2 linked regions of the Sus scrofa genome follow. The protein of the gene in region 2 interacts with the protein of the main gene of each other region in a pairwise test. Links are inferred from orthologs where the notes say so. Each region holds a gene or a part of one and is shown on either strand. Other genes may lie near its edges.

Region 1 (4,021 bases), on a different chromosome or scaffold from region 2:
CTCTTCAGAAGTCAAAGCAAGATGGGGGAGTTAGTGGAAAGCAGCAGGTTACCACGTTTTCATTAGCTTTTTATCAAGCGTTTCGGATTAAAACAAGGAGGCCGTTATCTATATCCACTTCTTTGAAAGGCTGGTCCTTAGAGAATGTGCAGAAAAGTCTACAGGTGTTGATCAAAGTAACAGGTGAGGGGGGCGAGGGGAGGGGAAAGACAGAAGAGGTTTACCACCTGGGCATGGGTGGTCAAAAGCATCTTGGAGTGCGCTTTCTTAGTCACCGTTAGGTGGAGTGAACGTGAATGTAAAATTACAGTCGGCCCTCCGTATCCGAGGGTTCTGCATCCGCGGGAAAAAAAATTCCAGAAAGTTCCAAAAACCAAACTTGACTTTGCCAATTTTCTGGCAACTATTTACATATCCTTTATGTTGTATTAGGTATTATAAGTCATCTAGAGGTGATCTAAAGTATCCAGAAGGATGTGCATAGGTTATGTGCCAACACTGTGCCATTTTACATAAGGGACCTGAGCATCACTGGGTCTTGGTATCAAAGGGAACCACTCCCCTACAGATACCCAGGGACGACTGCATTAGGAATTAGTGAGACTCCCTAACACCGTATGCTAAGCGTTTCAAATGCTGGATGCAGGCACTCGGGCTCATCATCTCCTCCAGAAATCACACTGAACTTACAAAGAAGGCGTGGTCTTTGAAGGTGGGCGTTTCCGGGGTGCCCTGGCTGTACATGGACATTCTTCTCTGCAGGGCGGCCGCCTTGTTCCCAGCCCCCGAAGATGGGGTCATGTCCTCCACGTCGAAAGGACTGCAAAACAACAAGTCCCCGTGAATGCACGTCTGTTAAAATCACCTATAATCACTGGACCGCAGGCCAAGAAAGCACCTCATCATGCTAACGGAAAGTCAAACCAGTGGGAACCGGGCTGGTTTGGGCCAGACTGGTCTGTCAGCAAACAAACCAAGATAACAACAAGTGGCGCAGAAAACGGAGTCTAGACTGGCCCGAGGGACCAGAGATTATGGTCACAGCTTTAGGCACAATTTATATGGACCCTGGATACTGGATAAATCGGCTTCCTCATTCATACAAGAGACATAAACATATGAAAGCTTGTTCCAACACAAGATGTTGAAGTCTGTAAAAATTCCGGGGGCTCTGCAAGGACAGTTACTTTAATGATATGGAGAGTAACAGATTATTGTTTGGTCCTAAAGAAAACACTCTTGCTCATTTCTGTTGACCCAGAGCCTCTTGCGTGATTGAGAGGAAAACAGCCTGTTGACAAGGACACCATTTATCATCACGCCAAGGGTTCATCCAGCAAGAGGCCTGGCCTTGCATTTGAAATGCCAATGATTACAAGTTCTTAGGAGAGAGGGGCTGGGCAAAAGGTGCGGACACTGTTTCAATGACAAGGCACCAGGTCTCTGCTGCTTCCAAGGGTGACCCTCTCAGGTGTAAAGGGGACCCTGAACACAAATACTCTGCATGTCTGAGTTGCTTGGTAATATACCAGGGGCTTAAGATCAAATGTTGCGAGCAACCAGTGTTTAATAACTTATCATGGCCTTTCTCACTGGGCAACTTCAGAAAGCTACTTTTAAGTTCCTTGCTTTGGCAAAAGGTATCCCTTGCCCTTTGGCAACATTCTCTTTTAGCAGATAGAGTGTGGAGAGGCTAAAGTTAGCCAAAATTTTCCAGGGCAATCAATATAAGATGTATGAAATAACAAGGGCTAAGCAATGAAAACAACCATAGCGAGAATTGGGATCTTTCTGTGGGCAAAATAACTCATATTGGGCAATTATTTTCTTTCAAGTTACTTGACTTGAGAGATATATTTCTTTATATACATTTAAAGCTTGAGAAGGAGGGGAGGAGGCAGAATAGAACAGGAATTCCCTGGTGGCCTAGCGGTTAAGGTCTTGGTGTTGTTACTGCTCTAGCGCGGGTTCCATCCCTGGGCTGGAAAGGGAAATTCTGCGTGCAGCTAAAAAGAAAAAGTAAATCAGGAGTTCCCGTCGTGGCGCAGTGGTTAATGAATCCGACTAGGAACCATGAGGTTGAGGGTTCGGCCCCTGCCCTTGCTCAGTGGGTTAACGATCTGGCGTTGCTGTGAGCTGTGGTGTAGGTTGCAGATTCGGCTCGAATCGCGCGGTGCTGTGGCTGTGGCATAGGCTGGTGGCTACAGCTCCGATTCAACCCCTAGCCTGGGAACCTCCACATGCCGAGGGAGCGGCCCAAGAAATAGCAAAAAGACCAAAAAAAAAAAAAAAAAAAAAAAAAAAAGTAAATCAAAGAGGAGAGTAGTGATAAGAGCGAGGGCTCTCCAACTTTGGCACATGTGAACATCACGTGGTGAGCTTGTCAAAGAGATTCTTGGGCCCGGACAGATTCTGGCACAGGAAGTTTGGGTGGCGCCTGAGAGTTCGCTTCCATATCAAGCTCCCTGGAATCCCTTTTTTTTTTTTTTAAAGTTTTATTGGAGTGTAGTTGACCTGCAGTGTTGTTAGTTTCATGTGTACAGCACAATCAGTTATGCGTAGACACATATCCATTCTTTTTCAGATTCTTTTCCCACAGAGGTGATTATAGAATATTGAGTAGATTTCCCTGTGCTATACAGTGAGTCCTTGCTACTCTTTTATTTTACATACAGTAGTGTGTACATGGCCACATGCCACCGTTGGAACACCTCGAGCCTGCTGCACATATTTTAATGTGATGAAATCAAAAAGGGCAACTTACTACCAGGTGATTTCCAGGTTGAGTTTGATGGTGCCAAGGTCATTGATGTCCACGGCCACCACCTGAGGTCGGGCTGCAAACAGCTCTTTGGTCTCGCAGGTCACGCTGCCGACCAGGAGGTGAGTTGCCAGCCCTTTGAGTTCTGTGACCTGGGAAGAGAGGGAAGAAGGCTTGCAGGATGGCAGAGGACAAAGGAAGGGGTATGCTCTTCCTGTTTTGCGTGGCCAGGTCAGGCATTTCGGAATCATATCTGAAATCAGAGGTGGATGTTTCCGAAGGCCATCTCACATTTACCCTGCCCGCTCTGACGCCAGGGCAGGGCTCTGTGATGTACACAAGGTCTGTGGGGTGGAGGGGCAGCAGGCGGAGGTCATGGACACAGGCCTTCCACGATGGACCATCCCGCCGTGGCACCAGGAGAGAAAACGTGATGATACTGTACCTTGATGGAAATCAATCCAACAATCAAGGGCAGGAACACCATTTCCTCTCCATCCCAGCTCTGTTTGCCATTGACTTCGATTCTGCCTTTCAGTTTCCACCTCTGTCGGCCGTACTTCATGAAAATCTGGGGAGAAGACGCCAAAGGGCCCTCAGGTTCCACTGCCCTCACCCCCTTTCCCTACCAAACACCAGCATCAAAAGGGCAAGTCAGGAAGCGGCTGCAGCTTCTCCTGGTCCCCAGCAGCCTCACTCCACCCACTTATTGCTGGGTCCAAATTCCCTGGGGTGGAGCAGAGGATGAGTGGGGACTTTCAAAAGGGCGTAAGTCCTGCTTCTCTAGGACAGAAGGTATGAACTGCTTTCTTTAGAAAAAGGTCATTGCATCGCGCCCTTTGGCTCCCTCATGTCAACCAGCTCTTTCTCTGCTTAGTTCTGCTTCAACAGAACAACAACTGGATTCATTCTCTACACTCCCCTGCTCCTTTAGAGAGATGGGGAACCATCTGCTAAAATCTACTGAGTGGCCAGAAGCAAGAAATAAGACATCCTCCCTCTGGATGAGGGAGATAGAACTGGACAAGGATTTCGAAATCTGCCATCCTCTGGGCAGAGGGTGTACAGTCTCCTTGGTCAGACAGCTTTGCTGTTTAGAGGAAGATACGTTCCCACCATCCTGCCCCCACCCCCGCCCGGCCGAGAAGAGTGATTGTAGAGGGTTTGGGAGGAGATACATGAAATAATTATGTAAGTTTCCTTCTGAAGAGAGAAAAAAAATATATATATATGTGTGTATATATATATATATATATATAT
Region 2 (3,999 bases):
AGTCACTAGATATAGAAACACTTGAAATAGGAATTTTAGAGTAATTACTAACTTTAGAAGTGTCTTGAAATTTTTAATTTATTAATCTCACAAGTACTTAACAGTTAGCAAATGCCCAAAGAGCAGAGTATAGTAAGATACATTAACACAAGTTTAAAACTTCATTGCATTAATGTGAAGGTACAGGCAAACAGTTCTACAGGCCAGGTGCATAAAGGGATAAACTAAGTGGTAAAGGAAGATGAAATATCTTTAGGGACCTTTTACAATTACAAATGTATGTGATTAAAATTCAGTGATTATGCACCACTTATCATTATCACTAGCAACCATAATGCAATTAAACACAAGGTGCTATCTATAGAAGCCCAGCAGGTCCAAATTGGTACTCATAAAAGTTGAAAAATCGATCTGTCTTCTGAGAGTTAACAAAAATCTCTCAGCTCAGGACAAGTAAGAAGACCCAAAGTAGCAACCCACCTCCTCCAGTCACTGCTTGGACTCCACCTTAATGGACACGAAGCACCTGAAGATCTACCTGTTTTTACTCTCCAAATAACTTAAACCCCACATGACCAGGATAAACTATTAAAAAGAGTTTTCTGACAGACAAAAAAAGAATTGGGACCGAAAACACTCCAGCAAAACCATCACCACAAACAATGGAAACTATATTCTTGATATATGCTATTTCCCTTCATCCTGCTTCAAATCAACAGTAAAAAGAGTCCACAGTCGCCTGATAACATCTTATCAGGGCCTAATTCTTTTAGTTTTACAGCAAGGGAGTCTGGGCTTACCTCCGAAGAAGATGGTCCCGTAAGAAGACCAAAACACCTAAAGCCATGACCTAGGCCAGGCAGAGACTCTGCATATTCATTTACCTATTTCAATCAACTGCTGTAGAACCATCCAGTTACAGAAAACAGAGCAAAAGCTAAAAAACATTTGTTTGTGAAATATTCCTGATTCTCTCAATGTATATAAAATCAGCAATATATAATAGGAGAAACACTATAATAAGTTGAAAGCACTGAATTTTAGCTGACTCTAAGCAAGCTGTTTAGGAGTACATAAAGAAGATCTTAGAGTGAAAATAGTTCTGGCTGGCACCTGACTATAGACATATGACCTTGAGAAATTTACTGAAGACTGTCGGACTCAGTTTCTCATCTGCAAATGGAGTTGGACTACAAGTCCTGAAGATTTCTTTCACGTCTAAAATTCTTGATCAATGAAAACGTCTTCCCTTTAATACAGATTTTTATGAGAACGGAAGCTATGAGTCTAGGATTAATCTTTACTAAAATCAAGTTCCATCTGATATTTTATGTTCCCAAGGGCCACCAGTGCTCTACAAAAATTAGATGGAACTACTCAAGACAATTTATCAAAAGAGATCCTTCACTAAGTTACCCTTTATAATTAAAAGCTAATCTTTTATCTTCACCCCAAACAATGTCACTTGTGCCAAATGCTCAAAACAACATCTCTCCCAATTTAGTCATGTCTAAAGTGACAATCATGCAATGGTACAAATGCATTACACATCTGGATGTGTGACACAAGGTGGCTGACAAATTCTCACCACATACAACATTTAAAAGAATTTTTTAAAGTATTTTTCCCCTTCAGGTCTGGCAGGAATATAATCTGATTACACACCTGCAAGGGACATTTACTTCAAAAGACTGTCTTAAATACAAAGAGAACCAAACAAGTTACCAACAGAGGTAAAAACTTTTTATCAGGACCATTATGAAACACAAGGGAAACCAACTTTAAGTAAAAAGGATGCCAATTTTCCATCATTAACTACTAATCATGGTTTTGAACAAATCGAGTGCAAATAGTGCTATTTAATGAACATGTAACTGGATCCAACTGGACAGATGTTTAGGTGATTCCTAATCAAGGTAATAACTCAGACTAAGAAAAATTGCAAATTAATACTATATTTTTATGCTACATAGTTTAATCAGGAAAAATATCCCCTTCAATTGGAAAATTCCCTTCTTCCAATATCGAAGAATCCTAACCCCTAGGATTTCAACACTGTTTTACTTAACACAATCTCAAAGAATACTGCATTAAAAAGGAAAATACCCAAAACGTAACTGGACTTCACCAAGTATAAAACGGTGATTCATGTTTCATACTAAATGTAAAAGCCAAAATGGAGTTGTAAAGAGTTTCTTTCCCATTTCAACTCCGATAGCCAAGCACGCTTCCCAGCGGCCGGCTGCCCCCCGGGTCGTGGGGCCAGTCTCACAACCCCCGCCCTGCCCCGCGCAGCCCTAAGAGAGGAAGCGCCCGGGACCGCGGGGCGGGCAGGCGGCTAGGGCTCCACCAGGCCTGGCCGGGCGGGGGAAGGGGCGCGGGAGGCCGCGGGGCGCGCTTCCGGGGACCGCGCGGGCGGGGCCGCCGCTTTGGGAAGAGGAGCCCGGCTACTGGGCCCCGAGTTAGGGTCAGGGGACAGGGTCCTGGGGCTCCCGGCCGAGAGCAGCAGGTGGGGCGCGGCCGCGGCGGGGCGGCGGCTGGCGGGCGGCCGGAAGAGTGCCGGGCGGGCGGGCCCGGGACGCCAGGAGGGAACCCTCTCGCTCACCTAAGGCGACGACTCCAAGGCCGGCTTCTCCGCGCCGAGAACGCCTGTCCGCGAGTCGCGAGCTCGAAGACTACGGCGGGTGGCTGTGGAGGTGGCGGTGGACTAACGAGAGAACCGACGGAGAGCGACGGGCGGGGAGCGCGAGAGAGCAAGAGCGGGCGGCGACGGCGGCGGGAGGGCGGGGAGCGACGTGCGCGCCCCCGAGTGCCCAGCGGGCTCGAGCCGGCCCCGGTCGCGGCCCCGCGCACGCGCGCGCACTCAGGGCTCAGCCACGATTGCTCAGGAGCGCGTCCACACCCTAAAAGCAAGACGCTTAACCAATCATTGCAGCCGCGTGGTGCATCACGGGAACTCTGGGGCTATAAAAGAGCTGGTTGCTATTTTATACTCCTCGAGTCACTCATCCTTTAAGCAGGGTGGGGCTTGGTGCGCGTGCGCGGTTTTACTGCTCCGCCCCAACTGCCAACTCTGCGCGCAGGCGAGGTAGGCGCTCCATGCCTCGGTTTACGCGTGCGCATTATTGAGTCTGGCTCCGGAAGACCGGACGCTTGCGCAGTGGGGACTACGGTGACAGTCCCCTGGGTCCGCCACCGGCCAGTCATGGCGGAGCCTTGGTCGGGGCAGTCCTTGCAGGTTCTGCCGGCCACGGTGCTGGGCGCGCTGGGCGCCCTCGGCAGCGAGTTCCTGCGGGAGTGGGAGGCTCAGGACATGCGCGTGACCCTCTTCAAGTTGCTGCTGCTTTGGTTGGTGTTAAGTCTCCTGAGCATCCAGCTGGCGTGGGGGTTCTACGGGAGTACGGTGACCGGGCTGTATCACCGCCCAGGTGAGGCTCCCCACCAACTTCCGTGGACCGGCCACCCTCTTCCCGCACTGACTGTACCTTCGGGTTCCCCGAACCCTCCCCCCCAGATTACCACTGGTGCCCTGAGAACCTAATGACAACGCTGTATCCTGACCCATGTCAACATAGCATTTCATGCCAGTAACCCCACCAGTCCACCCATGATATATAATTTCCCTTGCACTCTCATCAGACAATACCACAAGTTCTTTAGGGCCTCCACCACACTCTCCAACAAATACCACTGGCCTCTAACCTGACCTGGGCTGATGCCTGCTCAGATACCCACCCCCAGCCTGTTGCAGCTCTGGATGTGTTCCTGCCCCCAGGTCTGGGCAGCCAGAACGGATCCACACCTGATGGCTCCACGCATTTCTCGTCCTGGTGAGTAAATCTCTTCCCACTTTAACCCCATGCTTGGCACATAGAGGCCACTCCTGAGCTGAGGATAGGGGAGGGGAGTTCTCAGGGTAGGAGTCCACCAGCTTAGTGGCCTTTGCAGTAAACTCCAAGGTCTCTAACTAGAGCTCAAGCTGTAAGTGACACTGATGTC

The links.
Region 1: the proteins of RHOA (region 2) and RIPOR2 interact in binary tests that used the Homo sapiens proteins (3 or more experiments, as listed by UniProt). The link is inferred for Sus scrofa from reciprocal best matches to the Homo sapiens genes RHOA and RIPOR2.

What each region holds. Positions count from the first base shown.
Region 1 is NC_010449.5:19,646,549-19,650,569, forward strand, and holds part of RIPOR2 (protein FAM65B), read right to left. Parts: intron 3,333-4,021; coding exon 3,207-3,332; intron 2,914-3,206; coding exon 2,765-2,913; intron 821-2,764; coding exon 691-820; intron 3-690; coding exon 1-2. UniProt on the Homo sapiens protein: Acts as an inhibitor of the small GTPase RHOA and plays several roles in the regulation of myoblast and hair cell differentiation, lymphocyte T proliferation and neutrophil polarization.
Region 2 is NC_010455.5:31,988,408-31,992,406, forward strand, and holds the start of RHOA (transforming protein RhoA), read right to left. Parts: upstream 2,801-3,999; 5' UTR 2,606-2,800; intron 1-2,605. Other genes in the region: TCTA (T-cell leukemia translocation-altered gene protein), read left to right, coding at 3,206-3,428, 3,752-3,830. UniProt on the Homo sapiens protein: Small GTPase which cycles between an active GTP-bound and an inactive GDP-bound state.